3 linked regions of the Lepisosteus oculatus genome follow. The protein of the gene in region 3 purifies or fractionates together with the protein of the main gene of each other region. This does not show direct contact. Links are inferred from orthologs where the notes say so. Each region holds a gene or a part of one and is shown on either strand. Other genes may lie near its edges.

What was found.
Region 1: the proteins of bag5 (region 3) and dnajb4 purify together in Homo sapiens (affinity purification with mass spectrometry; 4 studies listed by BioGRID and IntAct, with this or other methods). This does not show direct contact. The link is inferred for Lepisosteus oculatus from reciprocal best matches to the Homo sapiens genes BAG5 and DNAJB4.
Region 2: the proteins of bag5 (region 3) and dnajc7 purify together in Homo sapiens (affinity purification with mass spectrometry; 4 studies listed by BioGRID and IntAct, with this or other methods). This does not show direct contact. The link is inferred for Lepisosteus oculatus from reciprocal best matches to the Homo sapiens genes BAG5 and DNAJC7.

What each region holds. Positions count from the first base shown.
Region 1 is NC_090704.1:3,704,847-3,715,068, forward strand, and holds the start of dnajb4 (dnaJ homolog subfamily B member 4), read right to left. Parts: upstream 4,019-10,222; 5' UTR 3,760-4,018; coding exon 3,549-3,759; intron 1-3,548. Other genes in the region: slc25a24l (solute carrier family 25 member 24, like), read left to right, coding at 5,824-5,849, 5,974-6,097, 6,200-6,326, 6,772-6,859, 7,318-7,429, 8,019-8,177, 8,425-8,562, 9,000-9,107 and 1 more. UniProt on the Homo sapiens protein: Probable chaperone. Stimulates ATP hydrolysis and the folding of unfolded proteins mediated by HSPA1A/B (in vitro).
Region 2 is NC_090723.1:5,512,895-5,523,874, forward strand, and holds the start of dnajc7 (dnaJ homolog subfamily C member 7), read left to right. Parts: upstream 1-6,926; 5' UTR 6,927-6,963; coding exon 6,964-7,034; intron 7,035-10,980. Other genes in the region: nkiras2 (NF-kappa-B inhibitor-interacting Ras-like protein 2), read right to left, coding at 2,540-2,782, 3,357-3,598, 4,471-4,564. UniProt on the Homo sapiens protein: Acts as a co-chaperone regulating the molecular chaperones HSP70 and HSP90 in folding of steroid receptors, such as the glucocorticoid receptor and the progesterone receptor.
Region 3 is NC_090703.1:6,903,470-6,914,036, reverse strand, and holds the start of bag5 (BAG family molecular chaperone regulator 5), read left to right. Parts: upstream 1-5,458; 5' UTR 5,459-5,494; coding exon 5,495-5,701; intron 5,702-6,077; exon of another isoform or gene 6,078-6,111; coding exon 6,112-6,419; intron 6,420-7,652; coding exon 7,653-8,492; intron 8,493-8,967; coding exon 8,968-9,508; 3' UTR 9,509-10,567. Other genes in the region: coa8 (cytochrome c oxidase assembly factor 8), read right to left, coding at 1,030-1,227, 2,120-2,269. UniProt on the Homo sapiens protein: Co-chaperone for HSP/HSP70 proteins. It functions as a nucleotide-exchange factor promoting the release of ADP from HSP70, thereby activating HSP70-mediated protein refolding.

The sequences.
Region 1 (10,222 bases), on a different chromosome or scaffold from region 3:
GGTGACCTTCCTGGGACATGTTGTTGGACCGCGAGGGGTGGCTACGGACCCAGGTAAGGTCGCCGCAGTGAGGGGCTGGCCGACTCCACGCACCGTCGCGGAGCTCCGCAGCTTTCTGGGGTTGGCCTCGTACTATCGGAGGTTCGTCCGGGACTTTGCCAGCATCGCCGCCCCGCTGCACCGCCTCACCGACAAGGGCCGCCGTTTTGACTGGGACTCGGGCTGTGAGACTGCCTTTGGCCGGTTGCGCGAAGCTCTGGTGGGGGCCCCCGTGCTGGCCTACCCCGACCCGCGGTTGCCGTATATTCTCGACACCGACGCGAGTGACTCGGGGGTGGGGGCGGTGTTGGCGCAGGAGGGGCCGGATGGGGAGCGCGTAGTGGCTTACTATAGCCGGGCTCTGACTAGGCCTGAGCGGAACTACTGCGTGACCCGTCGCGAGCTGCTGGCGGTGATGGCGGCGGTCCACCACTTCAGGCCGTACCTGTTCGGGACCCGGTTCCGGCTGAGGACCGACCATGCGTCCCTCACCTGGCTGCTCCACTTTAAGGAGCCAGAGGGACAGATGGCGCGATGGATAGAGATCCTGCAGGAGTACGACTTCACTGTCGTGCACCGTGCGGGGTCTCGCCATCTCAATGCCGACGCTCTCTCGCGGCGCCCCTGCGAGGCCGCGGACTGCCATCACTGCGCCCGGCGGGAGCAGCGTGAGGAGGCTGTCCGCACCGTGGCGGGGGTGAGCGCCGCGGCCACGGCCCGGGAGGGGCCGCTGGGGGTGGGCCTGCCAGACCTGGCGCAGCGTCAGGCAGCTGATCCTGACGTGGGCCCGGTGCTCCGCTGGAGGGCAGCAGGAGTGCGGCCTACACGAGAGGAGCTCGCCCCGCACCCGAAGTCCGTCAAGGCCCTCTGCGCCCTGTGGGAGGCCTTGGAGGTAAAGGACGGGGTGCTGCGCCGGGGGTGGCGGGTACCCTCCAGTGGCGAGGTACGGTGGCAGCTGGTGGTGCCTCGGTCGCTCCGCGGGGCGGTGCTCCGAGCGGTGCACGGCCAACCGGGTGTGGGGCACTTCGGCGGTAAAAAAACCCTGCAGCGTCTCCGAGGCCATTTTTATTGGGGTCTTTGCCACCGGGACGTGGATCGGTACTGCCGAACGTGTGCGGTGTGCGTGGCGCAGAAGGGTCCCCCCGAGCGCTCTCGGGCCCCCCTCCAACAACACCAGGTGGGGGCTCCTATGGAGCGGGTGGGAGTGGACGTTTTGGGCCCGTTTCCGCGCACCGAGGCCGGGAACCGCTACGTCTTGGTGGCTATGGATTACTTTACGAAGTGGCCGGAGGCCTACGCCCTCCCGGACCAGAGTGCCCCCACGGTGGCCGATGCACTGCTGGAGGGGATGTTTGCCAGGCTGGGGGTGCCGGAGGAGTTACACAGTGACCAGGGGCGTAACTTCGAGTCCCAGGTCTTCGCCAGAGTGTGCCAGCGCCTGGGGATTACTAAGACGCGGACCACCCCGCTGCATCCCCAGAGCGACGGGTTGGTAGAGCGGTTTAATCGGACGCTCGCCACCCAGCTGGCCACCCTGGTGTCCCGGCACCAACGGGACTGGGACCGCCACCTCCCCCTTGCGCTCTGGGCGTATCGGACCGCGGTCCAGGAATCCACCGGGTGCACCCCGGCCTCGCTCATGCTGGGCCGGGAAATGCGAACACCGGTGGACCTGGTCTTCGGCCTGCCGCCCGGAGACGGGTCGGCACCGCCGGCTGGACCGGACTACGAGTGGGACCTGCGGCAGCGGATGCAGCGGGTGCACAGCTTTGCACGGACCCACCTGACACAGGCGGGGGTCCGGCAGAAGCGGTACTACGACCTGCGCTGCAGGGGGCCTGCCTTCCAGCCCGGGGACTCGGTTTGGGTGTACAACCCGCGGCGCCGCAAAGGCCTCAGTCCTAAGCTGGCGCCGTCGTGGGAGGGGCCCGCTGAGGTACTCGGGGTGGTGGGCGAGGTCTGCTACCGTGTCCGGTTGCGAACACGGGGGAGAGTGGTGGTCCTGCACCGAGACCGCCTGGCCCCCTACCGGGCCCGGGAGGAGGAGCCGTGTGGGGAGGCTCCAGAGGAGCAGCCGGGGCCGGAGCCGGCCGATAGTGGGGCGTCCGTGGATCGCCAGCCGTCACCGCGGCGCAGCGGCCGCTCACGCAGGGTTCCGCAGCAGTTGGCCGAATACGAGTACAGCCTGAGGGGGGTGTTCGACGTCGGCGAGACGCCAGACGCTTCAGGTGGGGGCAGTGTAACGCCCTCGCCTGGTGGTGAGGAGGAAGCGCCCCTAGGCGCTCGTAGTACCGCTGGGCATGCTGGGAGTGGTAGCCGGGAAGAGTCTGAGGGTCAGCACGATGACCAGCGGCTGACCCTGCCTGTGTAAATAATGTCCTAGTAATTCTAGTGCCCTGTGTAGTCCTGTAAAAGTAGAGTGTGTTGTTAGGTAATTACCACCCTAAATGTGTGTACGTGTTCGTCAGACTCCTCATGTTTGTGTAGATCCTGTGTTTGGTTTTGGTGTGGTTGTAAAATAAAGCCAGTGCTTGGTTAATCGCGTCTCCACTGTTCTTTAGTTCTGAGAAAGAACCTGCAATACGCTACAAAAGAAACATTAAAATAAAGAAACATTAAACCTCGCTGCAGTGAGCCACCAATTCTTTCATCACCTGCCGGGAGTGGCTGAAGACTTACTTTACTCCCAGAACACACTTCTGACCCTGGGAGGTAAAGACGCTCAAGTACTTCTACGATAAGAAGGCAAGTCGGGTATACTGTATATTACTGGACACAAGAGGAACACCAGTACGCGGGGAACAGTCTTTGGGGGGTGACGATGGAGATCTGGGAGCTACTGTCCTCCTATCTCGGACTTTATTCTGATTGATGGTCTTCGCCAGTACAAGGGGGGGAAACTACCCTCTTTCCCAGAGAAGACGAGACGCGTTTCCCCCAGATCCGAGAGAGCGGCGGCGAGATGTATGATCCAGCTACGCAAACCGCTACAGCTTTCCGCTCGGCCACCAGCAGCAGCACCAGCCAGCAAGCTCCAACATAACACCCCCGAAATAAACAGCCTGTGGGTCCCATTCCAGGGACCCCGGCCAGTTGTGTCCTTTTACTGTTGCTAAACAGGGTGGGATACACGCTCTGATCCTTCGGGATCATTCTACGACGTTCTCCTGACAGGATATTTTATTGCCGTGTTGTGCCTCCCCCCTTGAAAAACGGCAAAACCACATTAAATTGAAAAAAAAGCCGGTTTTCCTCCTGCTGTTGGCGAAGTGCGGTTTAATCAATGTTTCCGCTCTGCGGCGTTTTATCTTGTGCGGCTCAAATCAAGGGAAACGGACAGGCTTGGATGTAAAAGGAGAAACAAAACCCCCCCAAAAAAACTCCGAAAGTATTTCTAATCCTGAAATGCAATTAAAACGATCCGGTAACAACAAACCACACCGAAACGGGGAGGGAGTTGCGTTGGCAACATCTCCACATACGAGATATTTATATATATATAACCTCACCTTCTTCGCCAAACTGGTCGTAGATCTCTCTCTTCTTGGGGTCGCTAAGGACCTCGTACGCCTCCGCGATTTCCTTGAATTTCTCCTCCGCGTTCGCGGCCGTGTTTTTATCGGGGTGCCATTTCAGGGCTTGTTTGCGGTACGCCTTCTTGACGTCCTCGTCCGATGCCCCCCTCTGGATCCCCAAGATCTTGTAGTAGTCCTTCCCCATTTTCCGCGCAGCCCGGGAGCCCGCGATATCCTAAGGATATAAACCCGCTTTATAGCAGCCGCTGGCAGGCAGAGAGCGGTGGTGGACAGCAGATGCTAGCCGGGTGCTGCCGCTCTTGAAATCGGGGATATTCACTCTCCTCCAAGCCCTGTTTGTGTCTGTACAGCTTATTGCTTCGATACTTATGCCCTTGTGTTTGCTGGTGCGTCTCTCTCTCTCTCTCGGCGTGCTCCTTTAAATAGCCGCGTCTCTCTCCCCTATTGGTACTCGCCGGAACCCAGTGGCTCTTTCTAGAAAGTAGTAAGTGCTGATCATTGCACGTCATTTCCCATATAAAGCTTACTTTTTTAGAAAAGTCGTTCGCAGGGAGAAAAAATAAATTGATGTAGGCTATCCGAAGTTTTTTTTTTCTCTCCTTTAGGCAAAGGTTAGATTATTTCATCGTTTTGATTGACGGGTTTACCTGAACTCGAAACGCCGAAAGAAACGTTGACAAAGGCCCTCAGTGAACATGGGGGTTTGTAGGATCTCCCCTCGTTTGTGTGGGTCTCCCCCTGCAGTCCAAAACGTACTGGTCCCAGTCCCAGTCCAGCCTCCGACATGCTTAAAAGCTCCAGGGTCTGAGCGGTGGACCGCCATACGTCTGGAAACACCGGAGACTCATGTGAGGTTTTTGATGAAATAAACAACGGATCTGTTCAATTAAGAGAAAGGCACTCAGATTATGGTCCCCGATGACATAATTTAACACATCATATGCCCAGGTGATCCCAATGACACGGATCTTTAGCTATAGGTGATTTAAAGGTGGAGCCTTTCTACAGTAGCACAGTCCAGTCACAGAGGATATAAGTAAGATATTTGCACAGGTACAGTCTTAGGTGTCCCCGATCTCAAAAGATCAATCTACCCTTTGTGTAATCCGCCAATGAGCTGCTGAAAGGAAAAATCATTTAACGCATTCTTTAGGTTACTCAAGAGTGCCTACTCAGTCATGAGGTGGATGTGTAAACCCTGTATCTGGTGGGCTCACCTTTCCCATCCATATGTTAAAATGACAGCACCCCTAACAGGTAACTCAAGCCCACAACAGATTCTTCAACGCTGTGAAAATGTGCACTCTAAGCTTCTCTGACGGTGTCAAAGGTAGTCATGATCCCATCTTGACATCTGTATTTTAATTCCTGGTAACTGTTCCTCTCGTGAGCAGCAACCTAGGCTCAACATCATCACTCAGCAGCACGGCCAGCACGATTGACCATTTCATCTCCTCCACTGACATCGGCCCTGGATGTGTGGTTTCATTCGGGAAACAGCGAGTTTTGTTTTATTTTTCACTTCATTAAAAAAACAATCATGGATGAAGTTTTACAGTTACTACGGTACATGCATCCCAACATTTAAAAAAAAAACGCAAATTCTACATTTGTGGGTGAGTGATATATAGATTTTATGTGTTGCGTCCTAACATCATATCCTAACTTTATCTTAATAATAATAATAATAATAATAACAATAATAATAATAGTAAACTTTATTTTATAAAGCGCCTTTTAAGGTGGCTTCTCAAAGCGCTTTACAGGATGACAACAACAATAAATAAGAAGAATACACAAGATACAACACAGTTACAATATAGAGAGGAGACCGTGGATGGTGGTACTAGGAAAAGCAGAGGGGTGAAGAATGGAACCAGTTCAGTAAAGGCTTTTCTGAAGAAGAGGGTTTTAAACTAGGTCAACGTTTCTTCACATCCATAAGCTCTGCTGTTCTAAAAAAAAAACATATTATGTTTTGCAATTGCGACCTACTACTAAACGCAATGTTGTCTCGTTTGAACGCAATAAACATTTGTTTCCTCCATGGCGCTAACAGGCTTCCGTAGCCGGCCCTCACCTGGGAGACTCACCAGCAGGCTGCCCGGGACCTTCCCCAGTTCTCCACACAGTGCCCCCTGCCGTCCGATCGGGGCAAGAGCACTCGGTATTCACAGGGATCGCGTTGACTGAGCTGGACCTGGCTGCGGCACTGAAGACGAAAAATTGCTATTCAGCCTCTCCGAAGATGACTCAGCATCCGTCACCCAAAGGGTACGCTACACCTGCGCGATGAACAATAATTTTAATTTTTAATTTGCACGCCTTTTGCTACTCAGCATCTCGAGTGTTATGATGAGACATATCTCTAATGATAACTGTTATTTCCTTTGCGAAGCACGCAGCAGTTCCGCAGCCTGTTCCTTCGACTAGATGCCAATAGCGATGGTTTCATCGCCGTAGATGAGCTCCGCAAAGAAATGAAGAAAATCGGAGTTTCGGCCGCAGAGGAGAAGGCTCAGGTATGAATTGCTGAATGCCGACCTTGACACACGGTATTTTCCTGCCAGGTGTGAAGGTTAATCCCATGTCGTGTCTGCGCTTTTTAAATTGTGCCATTCCAGGCTATCCTAGGCGACTATGACCTGAATAACGACGGGCGTTTAGATTACGAGGAGTTCCTGACCTACATGATGGACAGGGAGAAGAAATGGAAAATAAACTTTCAAGTCCTTGACAAAAACAACTGCGGTGAGTTGGTGACGTTTGAACGATTCTGTACAGGTTGTGCAAAAGTGAAGAAAGTGTAATTTGCCGGCGGGGGGTTGGAGTTAAAATTGTTGGTGCTTTAGTCAAAACCAGAGGGGCACAACTGCAGTCCAGATCTCTTTAAACGTCCATCTGTCCATTTTCTAACCACTTCATCCAATTCTGGGTTCCTGGAGAGCCAGGGCATATCCCAGCAAGCTACTTAATTAAATATCAATCATCATGTATCTCGCCATCCGTCAATACAGTTGTGTTATTTCCTGCTGCAGTGGGATCTGGTATTTATTACCCCTTCGTCCTAGAAAAAAAAAAGACCCTTTCCAAAGGACACAGTTCGTTCCAAGGGCAAACAGCAAAAGGAAGATTTCTGTCTTGAGATTTTTGCTCAACTGTTTTGTATTCATATTCATTTCTTCTCTGTGACTAGGGGTCATTGACCAGGAAGATATCATAGATTTGTTTAAGGAGTTAGGAGTGGTCATTTCAAAGCAACATGCAAAGAAAATAATACAAATGTAAGATCTGTTGCCACTTTTTAATATTTGACTGCTATAAAAGATTTATTGCCTTTGATCCATCAGTTACGAAGCATAGAACACATGTTTGGTGCTAAAGGCGTCTTTTGTGTTACAAAAATTCTCCTGTATGCACATAAAACCTGGGGAAAAATATGTTTCATAAAGCTTATGTAATATTGTAATGCTATTGTAATGCCATAATCAATGTCTATGGAAATGTAAACATAATACAGCAATTACAGCACATAACCGAACACCTTAATGACATATAATATAGTTTATATAATAAATAAAGTTTAAACGTACAGTTACAGTAGTTGCCATAGCAGAATAAAACAATATATTTTATGTGCATAGTGCCACAGAATAAACGCTTTTAATAAACAACAACCTGTAGTCATGTAGTAGCAACACTTGAGGAGATTTCCTTCATGGTTTCTCATGGTTTCTCATAGGATGGACTGTGACAACTCCATGACAGTGGACTGGAATGAATTTCTGCAGCACATCATTTTAAACCCCGCTGAGGACATTGCAGAGCTTGTTTCTTCTTGGAAGCGCAGCATGGTAAGGGCTACATTGTGAAGCACCTTGTTCCTAATCGCAAAGGAAGTCAGTGTAGTCTTACTTTGCCTAATTATACTGTACATACAGTATATAGTGTATATGCAAGTGGACTGTGAAAACTGCACTGTGGAGCAATTCAGTTTGGCATACAGTACATACAAACACAGCCATGGACGAGCTTCTATCCTGCCATGAACAAAGAAGGTATTCACCAGAGGTATGACAACAGACATGCAGAGAACTCTATATCCTAGGACCCATCCTCTGTGGGACTGCTGCTCTTGTTAGTATCTCATGTGTACTGTCACTGGAATGTGTTTTTAGTTCAGTATACACTGTATCTTCACCAAATGTGATTGGTTCACCTCGTCCATTTTTCCTCATCAATTTGTCTCCACAGGCAAAAATAACTTCATAAGCATTCTGAATGCAGTCCAGTAGTCTTCTTGTGTCATGTCCCACCCTGCTGTCCCTTTGTGCCTCCTGCTGCCACAGTTGTTCCCCTCCCACAGGCCAGAGATCCCGAGTCTCCAGGATAGAGATGGACTGCGATGGCTGACGTATGTAAAATCTCGTGCCGTGTCAACAGGTGTTCGACGTGGGAGAAAGCCGGCCTCTGCCCATGGACTTCACACGGGAGGAGACAGACTCTGGAGCCTGGAAGAAGTACATTTTAGCTGGAGGAATAGCAGACGCGGTGTCCAGGACCGTCACTGCGCCAATCGATCGAATAAAAATTCAGCTTCAGGTAATTGAGTGCGATGCCTTTCAGTGCACGCACACAGATGCGCTGCATTGAGCTGCAGTGACGCACCGTGTGTTTTTCTTGTTGCGTGGGGTGTACTGAATTAGTTGACAGGCCAGTGCCTTTGGACTCCTCTTTAGCCCATCTGGGAGATTGTTTGCATGAGAAGTGTTGTTTATCAATAGCTTTTTCAGGACCGTTTGAAATGTGAAGGAGCAGATCACCAGCTGGTCACTTTGCCTTTGTTTAGGTGTATGGTTCTGGGGCAGTATCACATGGGCTCAGGGAGATACGAGCAGGCGGTATCAAGTCGATGTGGCAGGGGAATGCAGTGAATGTGATGAAAGGCACCCCCCAGTCAACTCTCCAGTGTTTGATATACAACCGGGTACGTATTGCATTTACTGTACACTGTATTGCACAAGACAAAATGTCACAGCACTGCATCGTAACAGACTTGGGAATGATTTTAAGAAAGTTTGCATTTAAATATGAATGCTTTATCATGGTGCTGATCATTAGAGTAGGGCAGTACAGTACTTTCTCCTGAATGCAGCAGTTATTCTTGCCTTGTGTGCACTGGTTGGAGCTGCTGCCTCACAGGTCTTAGGTCCTGGCCAGGGCTACCTTCTGCATGGGGTCTGTATGTGCACTCCGGACATCTCCTTCTGTTACAGAACACTGACAGTATGAGCAAGACATCGATGATGGTTTCATTTGTTCTGTGTAAAAATACTCTTGTCTACTGCGGTGCAATTCTGCATTGTTAACTCTAGAAAACAGAGGGTTAAGCTGCACAATGTCTTTTAATGGGTGTCTTGGCAGGTGAAGATTCTTGGGGAAGTTTCAGAAGGTGAGCTGACTGTGCAGCAGAGATTTGGGCTTGGCTGCATCTCTGGGGCAGCTGCACATGCAGTGTTCTATCCCTTAGAGGTAAAAATGAACACTGGGCACATGGTATGAAGAATCAATTGAGTCCTTAACACATGTGCTTGGCATTTCAGAAATGAATACACCTGTACATTGCAGAAGAAAGAGACTCAGCATACAGCATCTGGCAAAGATGTTCTCTAAAAGCAGAGGATGTGACACAAAACTTTGAACATAAACTTCACCCACAATTGTCATATGATGTGACATCAACGCAGGAGATAAAAATAAGCTTGTGAAAGTCAGCAGTTCCCACAGAGGCCTTAAAATCAGCAGTGCGTACATTGTGCTTCAGCTGGGTGTAAAGGATGAAGGATCTGGAACGATGACACTGTACTTCACACGAATCAATCGTGACTCTGTCTTCTGGCCGTCATGTTGTTCCAACTATGGAGTTTCCCAGTCGTGGGTGGCAATGAAGAGATAGAGCTGGCATCCAAGTGGCAGAGAGAACTTGGCCTTCTAATATCGTATCAGAGCGTCCTGCTGATATCTGAGTCATGCGTTACAGGCACAAAAGCAATAAGTGCACAGAGTTCCCACTTGCATTACCGGATTATGAATGATATAATACGTACTTAATATAGCTTTAAAGTTAATTTTACTGTACACAGTAAAGTTACCTAGATATTTATGCATGTGTGGACAAACTGAATCTATTATAAAACAGCTTCAATAATGAAAATGTGCTTCATTCTGCGTATACATAGAGAAGGTTTTGGACCCTTAACCAAGATGCTGCGTATGTCTTTTCAGGTTTTAAAGGTCCGACTGAATCTTCAGCAGGCAGGTACATACACGGGGCTCAAGGAATGTGCCAAGTCCATTTATCAAAATGAGTCCATAGTCGCCTTTTACAGAGGGTTCAGGCCTAGCCTCCTCTGCATGATACCGTATGCTGGCGTGGAGTGTGCGGTCTATCAGGTACGTAGCCTGAAAGTGCCGGACAATTTGATGATTAAGAATAATTCCTTGCATTCAACAGAGCACTTTTCATCTAGAAGGATGTCTACCAGTGCTGTCTTCTACCAGTGCTGAACTGCCGTTATGAGCCAGCAGCCACACTGCACAGCAGAGTCCTTAAATATCTGCTATAAAACATTACTCCTGTAACCGGT
Region 2 (10,980 bases), on a different chromosome or scaffold from region 3:
TATGTGGAAGTGCATTTAAATCTGTGAAGAAGAGGCACGTCTTTACACAAAGTGTTGTGGGAGTCTGAAACAAGCTAATAACCTGGATTCTTTCAAAAAGCAGCAGGATGAGATCCTTGGATCAATTCACTTCTGACAAATGATCTGGATGGACTGAGTGGATTTTAACTAATTTTAAGGGCAGATACCCCCCAAAATAAAATACTTTCATTTTTATTTTTAAGTGTACGCATACATCAAATGGCTAAAATTCATTCACACTCTAGCTTGCTCAGTATCCTTGGGGACATCTGACATGAGGGCTTTGTTTCTGATATGAATTGATGATAGCTCTGTTTTAGTTCTCCTCTTGGAAAATTGTAAATTGTCTGATTTGCACTGGAAAAATCTAAAATAGAGATGCTCACAAATCCAGTGCAGAAGTGAGTTTCCTGCTTCTAAAACAATGTTATCCAGTAATTTAATGAGGATAATTATTTTTGTAAAGCTACAGCAGGCATCAGCAGCTATGGCTTTGTGGACAGTGCTGTCATCTGGTTCTCTACCAGCCAGGCACCGAATAACTTTATTGGACCCATCGGTTGTTTAACTAGTAAGAGTTAGCAGGCTTTCCAGATCTCTGCTCATTGACCTCTCAGGACTGCCTACAGTACCTGCAGGAATGGGGTCGTAATCCCTTCAGCTACACCTATGATGGCTATATCAAACTGGCTGTTTGTCAAGTCTACCTCTTCTAAGTTTACTGATGTATACTGAACTGCCGTTCATAAAAAATAAGTGATAGTGGTATTAAAGCCAAGACTCTCCAGTGAGTGAGCAATCTTGTCCAGTAGACCAGTAGAGGGCACTGCTCAAGTATAGGTGGACCTCTATGATCCAGGTGTCTCAGATTTAAGCCCAGGTCATGTCACCAACTGACTGTGAACAGGATTCCCCAAGCACATCTAAGTGCATGTCAGTAGCCAAGCTCTACCAAGGGATAATGTGATTAGTCGGCTTTCTTGACCCCCTCTCAGAGGACCCTCCTGCAGGATTCCCTGTGTGCGTTTGCTAAGTTTGCAGCTGAGAGCCGAGAAACCCACAACTGGCTCTTCTTAAACAGGCGCATACAACAAAAAGCACTGGAAAAAAATAATTTAATTTGTACTTCTCATATGTGGGATCTAAATAACATTTCACTGATTTATTGTAACTGTCATGCAGCAGTTAAATTGCAGTTGTATGTGGTATGATTAATCTTTGTGAATGGAAATGCGTGAGTCTGTGGTATATTTTCCCAGAAAAGAAAAACACAAACATCGATCAAGCTCTCTCCCTCTCTCTTTGAAAAGTAGTACGCTGGGTGAATACCTGATTGCCTTTTTTAGTAAAGTGAGCCCAGGGGACAAGTCATATTCCCAGCACTACAAGAGGGTTCAGCACATTCAGTCCAGAGAGAGCAACAGTTGCAGCTGACAGAAACAGTTTTCTTAGACAAAAAAAAGAAAATATACAAAATTAGAAAGTGGTTTTAAATAATCTATTAAAGAAAAAGAGTGTTTATCTAAAGACATAAAAGATGTAAAATGAGAAAACGGTGGAAAACGTTTTTAATGGGATAAAGAATTTCAGGAATTCCTATGTAATTCCTACATTGCTATTGAGCCATCACTCCCTTCTCTGCTTTTAAATAAAAAATACCCCAACAGAAGATTAAACAGAAGATGAGATGCAGAATCACACGTCACACTTATAAAAAAAAATAAATCTACACTTCAAAATCTGCTTAACAAACCTGTGTAACAATTTCCTATTTATTGTTTTGACATAAATGGACATTTTACAACACTTGGGTCCGTTAATGTATAATTTAAAATGCTTCTTAACAGCAATGAGCTGAACAGGAAAGAAGCAACACTGAAAAAGCCCCAAGCGCCAATGGCTATGGAAAAAGTGGTTTGAAATCTGGAATGGTGCCTGGCGTATGAAGCCTAACCACAAACTACTGTTGCCTGATGGACACAAAGGGATCAGGCACTTTGGGAAACAAGCAGAGTGGTTAGAGAAAGCTTAAAACAAGCAACTTAATTGTTAGCAATAAGGGAAACAAATAACTCACTCTTTCTAGTCAGTTTTAAATTATTCAGTCCTTAATCTGCAAAGGGAAATGCTTTTTAGTTTCCTTTCAGATAAAGAAAATAAATGGTTGTGTGGATTTCTAAATAACACAGGTAATACAGGATTTGCCAGAATCCTGTCAAGTGTTGCTTTGGAGCCCTTGCTGTTCCGACACCACAGTGGGATAAACACTTTTGCACACCACCCCATTCACAATTCACAAACTAAGAGATTAATTCACCAAGAAAATAAACAGGAGGGAATTGGGTAAAACACAAAATTTAGTTTTGTTTTGCCAATTGCTTGTACTCAGTTTAGCATTTCCAATGTCCTGTGTCCTGGAAATTACCTTCCTTATCTTGTGTTGTGGTTCTAGAGTTCTGACCCGCTCGCCCCGGCCTCTCCCGAAAGCTCTCAGTCCGGTCCTGCTGGGTCCATGCACTCAGCTGTCCAGGGAGCCACTGCCCTTGTTCTTGTTGCGACTCAGCGGGAAAGTGGACTTGCTCTGCGGCTGGGTCATCTTGCTGGCCAGGTAGACGAAGGGCTCGATCAAGGTGCGCCGGTCCGCCACCGACACCTCCCAGAGCCGCACCTTCTCAGCCTTGGCCCACTGCTGCGCGGCCTCGCTGTCCACTCTCCTCTGGTCCTGCAGGTCGCACTTGTTCCCCAGCACCACAATAGTCACCTGTGGAGAAGCACCATGATAAGGACTGTGGGAGTGGAACCTGTACACTGCTGTGCCTCTCAACAACACACCACTGACCGACGCTACACCCCAGCAGAGCGCACAGAGCCCCGAACATCTCCCTTCATTTCATGTGGCTCAATCAGAACTTCTTACAAGCAGAAAGAGTAAGCAGAATATGTATTATTCAATAATCCTGCTATTGTTATTTATTTATTTATTTTCTCATTTACTCCTGTTCTGAACGTAAGAAATTTCTCAGTTAAGAGGAGGCCTAAATCGTTGACTGACCCAAGGATCTTATCCAGCTGTGACTTGAAGAAAGCCAGAGTACTGTCTTCACCAACAAGGCAGAGGTTTGTGTTCCAGAAACTCAAACCCTTGGCCTGTAAGTGTTTCCTATTAAAAACCTTAAATAAACCTTTGTTTCTGCTGTGTTCTCTGCTTTGTGGTTTTTTTTTTCCTGTTTATCTTGAAGACATACAACTGAAAGCATGAGCATACCAACTGGCTCCCTATGCAAGGGCAAAGCTACTGCATCCATCACATACAAAGGGACAGGTGAGGGTCATACCTCCTTCTTGTCCCTGTGCCTGTCAATGTCCTTCTTGAGGGCCTCCACGCGTCGGAAGGACTCCTTGCTGTCGATGCTGTACACCAGCACAAAGCCATCGGCAAAGGTGTAGTAGTGGCGAGGAAACTCCATGCCCTCCCTCAGCCCGCGGGTGTCGTAGAAGCGCACCTGCTCCCGGACCCCGCGGTCCGTCTCAATGGACCCGATGTAAATATCTTCAAGAGTCTCCATGGGCTCGGAGCCTGCACGGACAGACAGAGTGGTTCTTTCATTGCCGTCGCAATTATTATTATGGTTTTTAGCTACACCCAGCCAGTCTGAAACCTACAGCTGTTTCCGTGTATCGCCACTCACTGCAAAGATTCCTCTACTGTGCACAGGGAGGGATGAGGAAAGGCGGACGAGCTGACCACTCTACAAGAGCCACCATGCCTGACGGCAGGGCTGGTCTGGAGGGGAGGAGAGGCATCTCTCTGTGACATCACAAAGAGTCACAAGAGCTACCCCTGGCATTGCTCTGCCAGTTATGTGACTCCAGTGGTGAGATTTTGGTTACAGTCAGTTGATGATATGATCATTACAGTTACAGGTAATCGCAATGAAAATGAAAACAAAAATCACATTGAAATGTCTTTTCTTTGAACAGGGCACAGAAATATATAGAAAATATGTTTTTGAGGTTCAAGAAAATAATTATTTGGGAATTGCAACAATAGAATGAGTCATTACAGTGAACCTGAAGTTTGATAATAAAGAATATAAGAATATAAAAATGTTTACTAATCATAGGAGACCACTTGGCTCATCTAGCTGCATTACTACTAGGCACAAGGATCTCTTCCGTTTTCCAGAAAGGATCCAGAGGATTAGCTTAAACAAAACTACTGCGAGTCTTAATACTCTCACAACGCATCGTGTAAAAATTGTCTCCTGTTCTTGGTTTTAAATGCTCTTCCCCGGAGTTTTCACCTGTGTCCTCCGGTTTGAGCTCTCGATTTTGAACAAGCCCACTGCGCTGACTTTGTTAATTCCCTGGGGGGTTTTGAAAACTTGATTCAAGGTCCCGAGACAGAATTTGTGAAAATCCCCGACAGACCAGGTCGCGGTTACTTACCGACGACATGGTTGGCGTACAGCACATGTTCCAGCACAGCGGTTTTACCGACGCTGGCCAGTCCGCACACCACGACCTTACAGCTCTTTCCCATAGTCCGCTGGCGTCTACACGATATCAACAAAACAAGAAAAAAAATTTCAACAAAGCCCCATCCTCTCCTTTTTTTCGGATCGGTATGACTTGCTCGTTCTAGATTAGCCATCTGCATTAGCGGTAAACATTGATCTTTTTGTCTCTATTTAAGACCTTTTACACGCGGTTATTGTAAATGTCAAATACACGAGCACTGCGCTAGCTTTCAGCACCGTCTTCAGCATGTCTCCCAGCCTCGATCTACGTAGAAACGGTCACATTTCTTTTCGTTTTCAAGACGATACTGCTATAACGAGACGGGCCCAACCTGTTGAATTTTGAAAAGCTGCCGCCAGTCTCGGAAAAGAGATGTAACACTGCCGGCTTCCACCACAATCTTACATTACACCAGGAACACGGTGCACCACTGTGTAAAGCGGAGTGGCTGTACTTTATTCTCCATTCCTAAACCAGGAATAAGTGGCTTTCTGACAGCGAATGCACGGAACAGCTATCGTCCATTTAATAAGAGCAACTAGACGAGGAGCTACAATACAGAACTGCACACTGCGTTATTTCAGATGGATGTATTTCAGGCGCCGTTGAAAAATACAGTTTTGCAGGCAAGCAGTTCTCTTTATTACATCTTCCTGACTTTTACAACATAAAAGTAAGAGTCAAAACGCTCCCCAGCAAATTTCTCTTGATATTCCCAGAGATTAAATAGTACTGCATAAACCAGTGCAATTAAGTTTAAAAGAGGTTGCATTTATTACATCTTAACTGAAACATCATTTCAGGGTAAAATTTCATCATTTCACAAAAAGTGATGTAAAATAACCACGGCCAAGCTATAAAACACCGCGACGGGGAAAAAAGCGCGCTTACACTCGTTTAAAAACACATTTTAAAAAGGAACAAAAATGCAAAACTATATTAAAATAATTGAAAATACTGTACTGTTAAAGTGCAGAGGCAGACAACCGCGGCGATTTCCTGTTTACAATTTGCGTAGGCACTAACCCAACCCACAGGCTGCGAATCGATGGGCTGGTTACAGGAGCAACCTGGGATCGTAACCAAGAGCGACCCCTGTCGACCGGAGGGCGTTACGATTTCTAGCGGAATTTGTGATTGTGCGCAGGTTATAACAAATCCAATCATTTTTATATATAAGCTTCAATAATAATAATAATAATAATAATAATAACCAGCAGCCGTGTCACCCAGCAACTCACAACTGGCAGCCCACTGAAGCTCAGCAGGTGTGAGCCTGGTCAGTACCTGGATGGGAGACTCCTGGGAAAAACTAAGGCTGCTGCTGGAAGAGGTGTTAGTGGGGCCAGCAGGGGGCGCTCACCCTGAGGTCTGTGTGGGTCCTAAAGCCCCAGTATAGTGATGGGGACACTATACTGAAAAAAGCTGCCATCCATCAGATGAGATGTCAAATCAAGGTCCTGACTTTCTGTGGTCATTAAAAATCCCAGGGCGTTTCTCGAAAAGAGTAGGGGTGTAACCCCAGCGTACTGGCCAAACTTCTCATTGGCCCTTACCAGTCATAGCCTCCTAATAATCCCCATCTCTGAACTGGCTTCATCGCTCTGCTCTCCTCCCCACTGAGAGCTGGTGTGTGGGGAGCGTTCTGGCGCACTATGGCTGCCGTCGCATCATCCAGGTGGGGCTGCACACTGGTGGGGGTGGAGGCGATCCCCATTACCTGTAAAGCGCTTTGAGTGGAGTGTCCAGAAAAGTGCTATATAAGTGTAATTATTATTATTATTATTATTATTATTATTATTATTATTATTACTACACAACAGGTACAAGGCAGGGTCACCCTGGACGGGACACAAGTCCATCACAAGAGACACACAGATACTCGCTCACACCAGGGCCAATTTCCCCAGAAGCCAACAAGTCTGCCAGTACTTCTGTGGCCTGTGGGGGGAAACTGGAGCACCCAGAGGAAACCTACACGAACAGGGGAGAACATACAAACTCCACAGGAACTGAACCCAGGCACCAATGCTAACCACTGTTCTTAAGCGTCGCCTGGAAACCGTTCCTACCCTACGGAATTTCACATTTTATTTTCGTCATGGTTTTCATAGAGTTTTAGTCATGTTTGCCCTGATCTGGTGTCGGTTGGTGACGGCTGTTATGCTGTATTGTTGTGTTGGACTCCGAACACAGCTCCACCGGCGGATAATCAAGTCTGAATCTGAAGGGATGTTGGAGCCTGGCGCCGCCACTGGAGGCGCTGTTTGCGCCTTTTCACGTCGGCGTGTAGCGGCCGTGCGGGCTCGACTCTCTCCCTCCCAAAAAGGAGAGGAAATGGGTCTTTGCCGCAGGCCGCTCTAGCGCTCGGTGATTTCTACGGTTCCCGGAAGTGTCTGTCTTCTCTTCCCCGGCAGTAACATGGACGCTGTTGACTGCGATGTGATCATGGATCCAGAGCCGCAAATAATGAACGAAGAGGAGCTGGCGAGGTACAACGTGGATATTTATTTCAGTCGGTAGTCGCTAGCGCCGTGACGCTCTTGGGGATAGACCGTACATTAACAGATAAGGCTCGTATGTGGTTCTTGAGCCAAGTTTTGCCGGACTGCTTGAGGCCTACACCCTAGGACGCGGGCATGGGGATCCGTCCCGGTGTCTCTTCAGCGAGACCCGGTCAGCCGCCGGGGTTGGAAATCTGCTTTCAGCGGCCGTCTTTTACACAAGAATAAAAACAACGGCGTTGTCTACGCAGTCCGAGATGTAAACAATTATTTGAATAAAACAACAAAGGAAACCCGACATTTCCGCGAAGGTGTTTTGAGTGGCGTTACATAGTCGTCTTGATAAAACGAATCATTTGTTATTAAATAAATCGGATAGTTTTAGGTCAGGTTGTTGTATACGTCTTTGGCAAGTATTGGATTTTCCAGTGCTAGCCGGTCTCGTTTCGTTATAAAAAGGGGGAAATGGGTCACTTTGTGTAATTCGTTCTGTCGTCTCCCACAATATCTGAGTGAAATTACCTGGAGGTGTTGAAGGCCTCAAATACGTTTCTTTAGACGTGTAGCTGGAAATACACATGAAATAAACTCCTCTGGCAAGCGCGGCTGTCTTGACAGTTAATAAGAGCGACAGCACAGAGCGACCGAGTGAGACAACAGTGTTGTTTGTGCGCCCTGCTTGTAGTTGTGCTGTCGTTTGTGTATCAGCGGTGCCTCTTCCTTCTGCGGAGAAGTAATTCACTTTGTTTGAACCCGGAAAGTCGGGTCCCCGAGTAGAATGATCTCTTCCATGTGCTGTCTTCATTTTAGGTAACACGGTAGCAACTGGAATCGCGATATTCCAGTTTGTAGATTGGCATGTTTTTATTGGTGGCATCCGTCGAGTATTTGTTGTAGAGGAGTCATTGAAAGGAATTTCCGGCAACGGGACTTGGGATCTGCAGACTCTTCCTTTATAAACTCCCATACAGTCAATACATTATGACTTTTTTCTAGTTCGGGAACTGTATCAATGGGACACCGCCGTCCTGTCCCAGTAGCTGCACGCCGTGGTTGTCCGGCTGGTCAGCGCAGCGGGCGAGGGACAGCTCCGGGAATGATGAGATGGGGGTGGGGAGTCTGTAGAGGTCGGCTCTCACCAGCCTAAAATCGAAAGCCTGACAGCTGAAACAAAACCGAAACCGATTTTAAGTGGACCTTATTTCCGCTGGCTCCAGGCGGACGTCAGATTGACTGCAGCACACGAATCAACCCGGGAATACAGCGTCACTCCAAAAAAGCACGGAACACCGATCCTGCGCTTAAATCGTTTAAGTAGTTTTTACATTGCGGGTACGAAAAGCAAACCCAGGATCCTCACTGTGGGTGGCGAAGGTGCGCTTCAGAGTCCTTGCCCAATCATACTACCCAGCACTGAGTGAATCGAAGTACCTGAAGAAACGCACTCTGCTCTTTCCCTGTGATATGCTATATTATGGCAGGAAGATGTATTAAGTCACTATGTGTTTCTGTGCATTATTCCTCTTATATGGTATAGATACATGCCTTGGCAATGACTGGCACCGTCCCACTCTGACAGAACGTAATAGATTCTTCTGTCTCGTTTTGTTGTTGTGCTCATACTTGTATTTAGTGTGACATAGGCATAGGAATTGTGCCAACAGGAAAAGCCTGATGGAAAAACATCAATTACAGTTCAAGACGGGAATCCGATCATATCTTCTTTACTCAGTAATCGCTGTGGAACAGAATCAATCAGTAGTGGAATTTAGTGTCTCACTTGTGGCCTTCGGAAACCATAGATCTGGCTCAGGGTCATCCTTTGTTTTTAGGGCTTCCAGGGTTTGTTTCTTTTGTTTGGTGAGGTCTTGCTGCTGTACTGAAAAATGGACAAGCTGGAGGAAGACTTGGGGTAGAGAAGGAGGTGTCAGTTCCAGACTCCATGATGCAAAGAGATCTTCTCAGTGAAGAGATGCTGTGACAAAAGCGACAGATTCGTTATCAGATCAGGGATGTTAGTGTTTCATATATTGCCTCTCCATTTGGAGAAACGTTTCAGAAAGCTTTGCAGTGACATAGTGGTGTCACAAATGGGGCATTTTTTGTTCCAGGCTTCAAGCCAGTGTGAGCCACTGTAGTGTGTGATTTATACAGTGTTTCTCTATTGTAACTGTCATAGAATGCCACTGTTTGCCTTTATTTTTTTTTAAAAGGCAGTGGTTTGGAATTTGGTGTAGTGCTTGAGCACTTGAGTGTTGGTACAACGAGCCTGTATCTTTTGACTCTTCATGCAGAATTATCTATTCATTTCGATTCATATCTATATTCATTACTGTGTAAAGTTAACCAGCCATCCGACACTTCACATGGTGTAAATATAGCTGCACAGCATGGCTTAAGAGGAGCACTTCAATATGGACCTCTAGCACCATTGCACTACAAATAGCTCCTGTAAATTGTGATATGCGGTTCAGTATCTATGCTTGAAAATTATGCTCTCACTTGCATTTCACAGTACTGTCCTTAGAAATCTTATATAATTTGACCTTGGCCTGTCTGAGCTGCATAATACTTGCCCAGGTTTGCTTTGATGTTGCGCAGGGCAGTTTAGAGATAAATAGTTCTGGATCGCTTTAGAGCGAGGTCTCGGTTCTTTCTGTAATGATGCTGCGCCTCTAGATGATGAAGGAGAGTGCGTTTAATTTTCAGCAGTAATCTCAGAGCTTCCTCAGGCTAGCTCGTGACACAGTACAGTGCCAATACAGTGCATGTTTGTTCCAGAGAGGTGACCTATATTTCAATTGATACAGTGCACCAAGGGACTGGTGGCCTGGAAGAAGGAAAAAAAACAGTTATGGATGGAGGGTAGAGTGACTATTGATAGTTTTTGTCTCTGCGGCCTCATCATAACACCTCTTGTAACCGGTGGGGTTAATTCACCAGCCCCTAGAAGCTTCCCCATGACTGATAACACCAGCTGGCCACTCCCCTGACTGGTCCTGCTCTTTCTATGTATAGACCCAGAGAGGGGGGGTAATGCACTGCTCTCCTGCTCTACTGTAATGAGTTTTGTGCCAGGCATGTTTTGGAGTTGATTTGCACATGGGGGAGATTTAAAAGGTGTAGAGCCCTGTAACTGTCAAATTAAATCATGCCAACAGCCAGTTTGTTTTCTTGTCTCCCCAAAATGTGGTGATTTGAAAAAATTAAAAATGAGTAGAGACAAAAAAACTATTTAACCTACAGCCTGTACTGCTCAAACAGGCAGAGTTGGTGCTGTGAGCTTCCTGTGATTTCTAAGGCTACTCCAAAGGCTGAACCAGTCCAGCTTCTCTAATAGGACAACTTAAGTGGCTGGGAAATATGATCGGTAAAATATACTGCTTCCTATTAACGTTGCAGCTCTTTCCTTCTTAGTTTTATTTTAAAATGATCTTGGTGAATAAGGACAGCTGATTTTCAGTGAACTAGTTCTGGTCTGACTGTTTTATGCTTTAGTTTTACAGGTGCATTCAGGAAACATTAAAAAATGATTAGCCTTATAAGCCATTACACTTGGTTGTTTAAAACATTTCTGCATTCGCCTTACACAAGCAAAGATAACCTCATTGTACTCTTAGGCATGCCTTTTATGAGACAGTGAGTCAAAGTAGATTGAGCTGAGATCATGGGTCAGTTGGAGGGACTTAAAATGGTGCCATCCAGTGATAGGGTTAGCTGTAATGCAGCGATAACTGTCCTTTTCCAAGTGTTGCCCAGTTCAGTAATCAGCACTGCCCTTGTGAGCTGGGAAGTGAATGGTTAAGCTTAGAGAAGACGCTGCAATCCTTGATAACTGTGGACACCTGCTTGCTTGGGTGTCCATTAATTTAGCACTTAAAGGTCAGCAGTGGTGCAGATGAATACCGAACTTTACAATCAAAGGAGAACCTCC
Region 3 (10,567 bases):
TAGTTGTGACACATAAAAAGCAATTTTTCAATGCATTAAGACAAGGGGATACAATGATGATAACACAAAATGTTTCGTAACAAAAACAAAAGGGGATTGTTCCTCTCATGAAGTCAGAGGTCACACACCTTATCCTCACAAAGAATTGCTAAGATTTATAGTTCTCTTTCAACTCTACACATCTATCCACCCAGTATCTGCAAATGTTTTTTTTTTCCTTAGTGTCATCAGAGTCCTAAGTCTTGTTTACCTAAATTTACACCCAGGAGGGTTGATAACTGTGCAACCAGTGGCTAAAGTCTGACTATAAGTTTAAAGACAAAATTAACCAATAAACACACCAGCTTTCCCATGTCAACAGCAACACTGAAGGGGAAAAACAGCTGAGTTAGCTTTGCTTGACTTACTTGAAGCAACAGCAATTCATTTTAATATGAATATTAATTTCTAGAATTGTAAATGCAATCTGCGCTTGTTTGGACAGCACAGCACTTGATCAAACTCAAAACAACCATCAGTTTGTATTCAGTTCTGCTAAGTAGCCTCACACATGCCATTATCTGTCACATCAAAAACTTATCTGGGACACTGCAGACCAGGCTGATCTGTGGTCTGAGGATGTGAAGCATGCGATGTTCGAATAATGTTTAAATCCAAATTGAACTGAGAAACATGGGGGTGACTGCTGTTGCCTCGTGAGTCTTGGTCCCTGGGTTTGATCCCCAGTATCTGCTGCGGGGAGTTTACTATGGTTTCATAACACCTACCTAACTCACGGCTGGTTGGTTAACTGGCGTCACTAAAATGCACATGTGTAGACAGCCCAAAACAATCAAAGAGGGCTTTCTGGTAATTTTTGGTTGAACATCACAAAGCTAGGCTGCCCTGCCACCTACTGGACAAACATTGTTTTACACACTAAAAAACAAGGGGCCATTCGATCAGGAGGGAAAAGACTTTCGCTCTCCACACCCAAAGTAAGAGTCACGACACGAAAACAGGCCAGGAAAGACCAGTGCTACCACAGACCCTGCTGAAAGACAAATTCTGATTGGCCCAGAACTGCTGGTTCCAGTCCTCCGTTTCCTGCCTCAGGCGCCTCAGCCTGGCTTCCGTGGGGCTTTCCTTCTCAGGGATGTGGAACCTGATTGGCCGGAGGTTAGACAATCCATCCGGAGGACCAATCCAGTCACATCTGCTGCTGGTGGGAGGGGTGAAACCTGACCTCTGTGGAGACAAATACAGGTAAGGTAGTTATGAGAGAGAATCAGAGAGGGCCAAACTACACAAGGCCCATCAGTCTGCAAATTTCAGAAGCCCGACACAGTGGACTGACAAATTGCCCTTTTAACCTCTCATTAAAATTGGTCTAAATATAGCAGACATCACAGGAGAGAGAAAATGTGGTTTTCTTTCACGCCAATCCAATACCTAAAGCGGACTTCTGGCATGTACTGTTTCTTATCCTGTATTCTATTTTAAGGTCATTGCATAAAAGCATGATTCACAACTGCATGAAACCTCTCTTCCTGACTGCTCTGGTGGATATTCAAGAGATTCAAGGCAGGGAATCACACCTTGCACTGCCAAAGCATCCTGCAGCCACATACAATCTCAGGAGAGAAACATTTAAATGTTAGGAGAGTGTGCAGTACAGGGAGGAGAATCCACTTCAGGAGACTCTTATAAACAAGGTGCAGCTCCGTGCTGAAACGAGTTATTATTAAACGCATTTTCAGTTAAAAGTTCACAAGCTAAAAACACTACTTTTTTTAATCTTTCGGAATACCCAGTGGCTTGGAAATGTGTCTGGTCGGATGAGTAGAGAACAATTAAAATCTGCAGACATTGCTTGCTGTATAGGGAAGATGCATCTCAGGAGACTCTTGAAATAAACAATGTGTCTGTAAGAGATGTTAATCACACTGCAATACTGTAATAAAGAGGTTTTTAACTTCAGGGTGACTAAAACTACAGTACTTCTGCAGAGCGATATATCTTAAACACTGATGCATTCAATGTGCTCACAACCATTTATTAATTTCCAAGATATGAAAAAGCGATGTTATGTCGTAAAATAAAAATATATACAGCGTATACTGGACTTCACCATTCCCACCTCGCCTGGCCTCTTCTCCTGTTTAACGGGCTCTCTTTCACTGCTGTATCTCAGTCGTCCCGACAAAACACCTGCTGCATACCGGGAATACGTCAGTTTACCGTGATGGAGCGATCGCCACGTCCGAATTCCTGACAATTTTATACTCATCTCTGCCTTATTCCTTCAAACCTCTTCTCCACTCGCTGACCTCTTCCAGAAGCAACTTAACCCACGAACTTGAGCCCCACGTGACTACCCCGTGAACTTAAGAGGCTGGACAACAAAATCCTTACGCGGAAATCCAGCGCCCCCTTGCACTTGTAACCATCCACAATCACGAGTTTCGTTTTATCGTGCAAATTCAAGAGTTTTGGTGGAGTTTACACTATATATTGCATTATCAGTAGTGGGTTGATTTTTTTTTATGAATTCAAAACAACTTGTATAGCACAAAGCAAATATGTCGAAAACAATGACGCGAGTTGTTGTTTAAAACGACAAGATTAAAAGTGGAAGGTGTGTAAATGGGGTTAGAGAGGGGTACGTTTTCAATTCTTTTCGAGGTGATTTGCGGAGAGTAATTGTCTCTTTCAAAGATATTTACTGCGGCGACAGCGAGGGTGATACTGTCTCACATCAGGGTCCATGGAACTTCGGGATTTCTACACTTGGACCGTTCCGTGTGCGGACCTCTGTCGTGACGTCACTCGGCCGGCCCGACTCTTCTCCCGGCAGTGGAGCCGTGCGATGAGGATTGTTGTGCGTTTCTCTCTCCTCCCCTACCGATCTGATGGCTGTCCGCTGGTTATGCAGGTAAGACGCACACCGCTACCCTTGACCCCTTTCTTTGGTACGGAATACCTCAAGCGTAAATTGCTGGAATTGCCTTTTTTGTTTTTACTCATGGGTGAGGTTGTTACCGCCGCTGTCAGTCAGTTCTTTCTCAGCCTTTCTCGAAATTCTTACTGTTGACAAAGGATTTGAAAGGACCTGCTGTTATCAGTAAAAAAAAGATGTAGCAGTGTCAGTTAAGGATGATTTCGGATTTTGTAAAGCGATCAAGGGTGCCCATCGGAGACGTTTTCCAACAGGTCTAGTGCTGACAGTGTGATACACGTTTCGCTTCAGCGAGGTGTTGCTATTTGAATTTGAGCCGAGCTCTGCTACAGAAAACGTAAGGGCAGTGCCATTGTTTTTAGGCAGTGAGAATGCACCGTACGGTAGATATGCAATACCGTGGCTACTTACCCGTCCGGGACAGATTCACAGCTGTCATCCGCTTATCGTTAAGAAAAAAAAATGGTTCAGGTTGTGCGGAGCAGGGCGCCTCTTACAAACTGCACAGGTTGAAGCCATCCTTTCGCTATAGGGCCAGAGATTTGATTTCGTGCCGCTCGGTGCACCTGTCGCCCAGAGAGGTGATGGTGCTGTAGGAGATGAGCTTGGTGGCACTAAGATTTTCACCTGCATGACGGCCTCGATAGCCCCCTCCGAGGCCTCTGGTGTTGGAGAGAGCGTTAATTGTGCTTTGGCAGCGCTGTGAATTTATCGGCCATGCCCTTGAGTTTGAATTTGAGAGCACATGCGTTAGGGTTTCAGTCGGTTGTCAATCAGTATGTCACAACAACCATTTTGACGTAACCTTTACAGATGACACTACGATAAAAAAAAGCGAACTACTGGCGTTATCAAAGTAAGAAAGAGATGCGCTACAAAACAGAAAACTAAGGGTGTCTTAATGTTTGTGCGCGGTAACAGGGTAGCCCTTAACCAATCAATGACGAGCCGAGGTAATAACGAGAAAATTCGTTTATATATGAAGACTTTAATGAAGTATTCCTCAGAGCGCATTAGCAATAACTCATTAAGTGCCACCAAATGTAATTACCTTTGTGTTTTCTGTCTGGGCAGCATGCACGTTTCCGCGGAGGAAAATGGAAGTTAAAGCTTTAGGAAGCTACATCGTTTCTTAAGCAGTGCTCACAGATGATCTCGCTGTGCCTTTTTAAAAAAAAACTCGATCGTCTTCAGAACGAGTCCTGAACTGGTGGACAGCAGTTTAGATCTTGTTGTCTGTCTGATAAAAAATGTCAGAGCTTCACTAGCGAGAAGAGGAATGAAGATCATCTTTAACGAGTTTAAAATTGAAAACGTTTACATGACGTCCTCTTTTTCAGTCCTGTTGTAACCTTTTACAAGCAGCCTCATCTATCTCAGTGTTTTCCATTTTGTTTTTGTTTTGTTTTTTGCTGCCTGCACGCAGAATCCTGCACTTGTCTTGTGTGAACAAGCTGCAGTTGGGCAATATTGTGCCTGAAGCAGTATTGATAGACTTCAGAGGAAGTTGCGGATTACGATTGCGGAGGTTGAGGTGAAGACCTTACAGTGTCTCTGTGAATGAAGGTGCAGTAGTTCTACGACTTTCTTACTGACTGTGAAACTCCGGATGGGTGGTAGCAGAAGTGGTGTTCATGTGGCCATACTCCATGGGATTTGTGCGTTCAGTGATCTGAACATCGTTTCTAACCTACTGTTACGCGGACACATCCGTGGACACAGTACGGTAGTGTGACTGCTGGTTATTCGGGGCTCTTGGGTTTGATTCCAGTATGGGCTCCCCTCCAGGTCCAGTCTGCACATTCCCTCTCCATGTCCACATTGGGTTTTCATCAATACCCATTTCCTCCCACCTTCCGAAGACAGGCTGATGAGGTCACGAGGTGTCTGCAAGCCCTGCCTCCATGTGGGTCTACCTGGTGATGGCCTAGACTGGGGTTTAAGCTATAGTCCCATATTGCACCCTGGGCTCCCAGGACAAATCCCGGGTTGCATCAGCCACGTTTTCTGGTAATGGACGGATAGATAGATAAATCCATCCCCTGTGTCCTCTTCTCAGCTGCGGGGAGGTGAACGTTTGACCATTAAATGCCAACCAAGCATCATCCTCCATGTCTTCAGAGTTCACTAGGGGTCGGAGGTAAGCGGGATTCAGCGCCATCGATTCGTGAGCGAGCAGGCCGTCGCTGGGACTGAATTAGGGACGCGTGTGTACCGCAGGAATGGCGAATATTTCTAGCGGGCATTATTCTATCGCTCCCCCTGAATTCTTGATTGAAGTGCCAGTTTTAATTGAGGTTGTGATGGCATCGAGCGTATATTTAAAAAGCCTTGGTGCTACTTTGTGGGTTCTCTCTATCCATGCATGCTCCTATTCCTCCTGTCAGGTTTGCACTCGTGGAATATTACTGGGAGGCATCCGAGTGGAAATGTAACTGTTCCTGGTTGTCTTTCCACGCTATCTGAGGTGTGCGGGGCAGGTTGCAGCGATAAAGGTTGGCGAGACAGCCGTTTGAATTACTTTGTGATTCTGAGCGTCTCCATCACCTGCTGTTCATGCATCCCATCAGGACGCCAGGTGCGATATCACAGTGCTGGCACATGACCCGCACGAGGAGAGTAAGAGAATTCCCTCTCTCTGCCACTGACAGGTTTTTGGTGCTAGGAGTCAGATGCTGTTCACGCGTGTCAGCTCTGTTGTACAAAGTGACATGCAGTATGGTGATTGTGGAGGGGGAGAAACTGTGGATTCCTGCAGGAGAGGTGTGGAATAAGTATTTTTGGGTTGATGTCTTTTAGGTAATATTATATTTATTTACAATTTTTTAATGTTTGTTTGTACTATCCATCCGTATTGTAAGTTTCTGTGTGTGCAAAACATAGCTGCTTGGATGCAAAAAAAAATAGTGAGACATGAGGCGATCAATTATTCCTGTCTCACATGAACAGATAGGCAAAACCAAGATTCTTTACATTTTAAACATGACCACAATGCCAGTTCCTTGCTCTCTTGTTAAACAAGCGTCCTTTCAAAGGAATGTTTATAAATACATTAAATACATTGCCAAACAGGACACGTGATCCTTGTGGGTGGGGTCACATGCTCACACACAGACACCCACACGGTGTGAACTGTGAATGGGGCAGGTGACGGGGACGCTGTCTCCTTTAAGACGGCAGAAAACGAGGAACAAATCTTTTATGACATCAAAGACTCGCATCATCGGCAGACTGGCAGCTGCAGTGGAGCCTGCCAGGAAAGTGCTCTTCAGTCCCCAGAACCCTCGCAGTGTCAACACGGCCACATAACCTGCTTATCTGGGAATGGGCATGCCTGTGGTCACGGAGCAGCGGAATGCTCTGGAGCGTCTGGAGGACTATTCCGAGCCTTAGTGTTTCCCACTGGGAGCTGGGAGATCTCTAGCACAAGATTTCTAACGCAAATTAGCCTGCTTCATCTGCCAGCATATCCACCACGTTTGTAAGTAATTCCGTTTTTAGGTTTCTTTTTATAAGATTCCCGGATGGCGGGGGCGACGGGACTGCCTTTGATGTTCCCAGGCAGCGAAGTATCTGGGGTTGGGAAAGTAAAAAAAAAAAAGCTAAGCTGAACAGAATACCATTTTTTTCTTCGAAATGGGGGAAAGAAACAACAGCGAGGCAAGTGGGTTCCAGGGTGTGAACATGTTCCTCGTCGAATGCAGGAGATCGGATTGCTAAACAAAGAGTGGGCTGGTTTGTAATCTGCGTTCAGGGGTTCGGCGAGGAGCATTCCTTTGGCTGGGATGGTGAAAGTGTTTGGTGGGGCTGTTTTAATCCTATTTCGATGTTAGGTGTGGCGGCTTCTCTTGGGGGAGGGATTGTGTACTGAGCCATAAATCCCAGCCAGAGAGTTATTTGCGCAAAAGCTGTGATGTAATCCCCGTATCCACAGAGGTACAAAGGTGTGTATCGCTCTGGCTGTATGTTATCTCTAATGGGAACTAAACAGACATGTCTTCTCAAGGTTAGAGCGCTTTCCCTTTGTTCAAAACAGGATGGTTTTGTTTTTAATCAATCGCCGTATTTCCTACCAAACAAAATCTTTAGATGATATTTCGATATCGCTCTTCCCCGTGAGGCAGTATGATGGTTTACTCACCTAGACAGATGTTGCCCACCCTTGTGAAAAACAGGGTGATGCAGGCCTCTGAAGTAGTAGGTTGCTTGTAATCTGTTAAAAAATAGATAAATGCTCAAATTAACGTACTCCCGGGAAGTTAGTTGCCCCCTCTTTAGCCTCTCTGTCTTTACTGCATCATCCCACCCATCAGCTATTTTCTATAGCCCTGGAGGGCAGTGGTGGGCAGACACGGGGGCCAGGCAGGGCAGGAAACACCCTGGAACACACACACACACACACACGCACACACACGCACACACACGCACACACGCACACACGCACACACGCACGTACAGGGGCGATTTAGAGATGCCAGTTCACCTGGACTGTGGGGTCTTTGGACTGTTGGGGGGGGGAGAACTGAATACTCCACACGGAAGATGCCTCCGTCTGGAATCTGACCCAGGAGCTGGGAGGCAACTGCGCTCTCTGCCGCAGAGTTTTTTTTTTTTTTTTTTAAGCCCCTCCAGCTTCTGCACGGGGCTCCCGTTGTAGTTTGCCGCGAACGCTGTTGTGGTGACCCCCCCTGCCCCCCCCTCCCCTTCTCCGCAGCCTGTTTGGAAAGCCCTTTGATGGTGGGAAGCGCATGGAGACGGGCGGCCAGCATCCTGGCCTGCAGCGGCTGCAGGAGGTCCAGCGGGAGGTGCAGGGCCTGGGCAAGCAGGTGGGCTCCTTCAGCGGCCTGCAGAGCGACCGCGAGTACCGGCGGCTGGAGCGCGAGCTGACCCGCCAGCTGCTGGAGGTGGACGCGGTGGACACGGAGGGCAAGGCCGAGGTCCAGCAGGCCCGGAAGCGGGCGGCCCAGGAGGTGGAGGGGCTGCTCCGGCTCCTGGAGGAGAACTCGGCCCACCCCTCCCGCCTGGCCATCGAGGGGCTGAGCCAGGAGGCCCAGCGGCTGGTGGAGGCCGGGGTGCTGGAGCCCCAGAGGGCGGGCGCCGGGGAGATCAGCGACGAGCTGGTGGAGAGCCTGCAGGACCTGGTCCTGCGGCTGACCCAGGTGAAGACGGGCGGGAGGGTGCCCCTGCGCAAGGCCCGGTACCGGGCGCTGACCCGCGTGTGCGCCGTGCAGGACGTGATCGAGGGGCGCACCCGCCGGCAGACCCTGCCCCTGCCGCTGTCCGAGGACACCCACGCGGCCGTGCAGAGGATCAACATGGTGATGGCCAGGGTGAGCCAGGCGCGCAGCGAGCTCATCGCCCTGCTGATGGGCCTGGGCGACGGGGACAGCTGCGCGCACCTCGCCCGCGTGCTCACCGAGCTCCTGGTGGAGCTGGACGCCCTGGACGTGTCGGGGAACGCCGCCGTGAGGAACTACCGCAAGCAGGTGGTGGAGGAGATCCACGGGCTCCTGAAGCACCTGGACCTGGAGGGAGAAGGGGACGACACGTGCAGGTATGAGCCAAAACGACACAAAAGCCAGATCAGTGCAGAGATCCAGATCTCCTTCTGAATTCACTTTCTCATTTCAGACCTGTGCATGAAGGAAATACCTTCAGAATTGCAATACCGGGAACTGTTTTCTTATCCATGCTTGCAAGAATAATTCTCTACTAGCCAAGTTCCTCTTTTCTGCACTTGTGTGCGATAATAGTATTAATGATAATGATGAACAGAGAAGAAAGAAAACACAACGTTTCGTATTGCAGCTGAAGAAGGCTCCGAAACGTTGTGTTTTCTTTTTTTCAGCATGGAATAAACCCATTACTTGTTTCTTTGCAGCCTACGCATGCTGACACAATGGTAATGATAAGAATAAAAATTGATGATAATGACGATAGCAAGAATCTAATCTTTTTACCCCAAGCAAACAGTTAAGCGTTGAATTTAAGCTCTCCGGTTGGCTCTCCCGCTGCTGGCGCTCTTGCAGGTACGACCTGGCCCAGAACGACTCGATCCAGCAGATCGAGGTGCTGCGCGGCCGCGTGGCTCAGCTGCGCCGGCAGCTGATCAGCCAGGACAGCCCCGGGGAGCTCGGCTTCAAACCCAAGGCGGAGCTGCAGGGGTTCCTGACGCAACTGGACGAGGTCAGCACGGCGCGCAACCCCTGCATCCGCGAGGCGCGCCGCCGCGCTGTGCTGGAGGTGCAGGCCGTCATCACCTACATCGACCTGCGGGAGGCGCTGGTGAGGCGGCTGCCCACCGCCGAGGAGCACCCCTCGCAACGCGCCGTGTGGCAGGTGCTGGCCAGCCTCTCCGAGCTGCAGGGGCAGGTGCTCAGCTTCGACGGCAAGCGAGCCGACAAGAGCTACATGGTGCTGGAGGAGATGCTGACCAAGCAGCTGCTGGCCCTGGACGCGGTGGACCCGCAGGGGGACGAGATGTCGAAGGTCGCCCGCAAGCAGGCCGTGAAGTTCGCCCAGAACATCCTCGGCTACCTGGACATGAAGACGGACGAATGGGAGTACTGACCGCGGCCACTTGCGGTGGTCTGTCTCTCTCGTTTGGTTCGCAGTCCTCTCTCCCCTCATCTTCATATCGCAAAGAGATGGATCAGGCTGCAGGAGGACATGACGGAACTAACTGGTTTGTGGCTGGGGATGGTAACATGATGATGACGTCTTTGTTGCTGTTACAAGATTCAGGGGAAACATCTGGCTCTGGAAAGAGGCTGTTTTTTTTTTTATTCCAACTTTATTTCGACAGACATGAATACAAGCAAATTGTTCCTCAGCGTTAAGAGTTCCATAAATCTCCAGTCCGTTCCGAAAGACTGCGTTTTTTAATTGTGGCGTTAGTGTGGTGCTCTAACCCATGAACAGAAGTGTGACGTGGAGCTTCTAAGCGTTTCTCTTTCTGTCTGTCTGTTTGGTCAAAAAAAAAAAGTCGTCGTGAGATATACAATTGTGATCTGGTGTAAAACTGTTAGAAAAAACACAAAGAGGGGAAAGAGGAGGAATTCCATATCTTCAGAACCTTTACAGGGAAAGCATATCAGTTTTGGGGGGAAACAAATCAGTTCTCCAGCAGAGAAGAGTTAGTTGCTAGTAGCTCTCTGTCTGTTGTTTTAGTTGTACTGGTAGTGAACTTCCCTTTAGTTCATCAGCAGCTCTGCCAGCACATCTCGCCAGTAGCCTGCAGACAAGCCAGCAGATTATGGGGTCTCCGAAGACATGCTCTGAGATCTAATCTACATCCTGTTACCTGAAGGCACAGCAGACTCTAGCAGAACTCTAGCAGAGCCGTTCAAGGTAAATGGAAATTGACTTCCACTTCTTACAGCTTCACAGCCCAAGAGGAGGAGAGGTGAGGGTCATTGTTAGATCTCCAACTTGTGTCTTTACTTCACAGGTGATGTCTCAAGATATGGGTGACTATAACCTCTGTAAGTAATCACCTTCGGAGAAGAGCCGAAGACATGTTAATTCATCTTGAATTTTTTTCTTATGCTTAGTTTAGTCATTACTACAGAGAACTATTGACCAATTCATTTACTAAGCATCTAGACCGCTTTAGTTCTTAAAGCTACT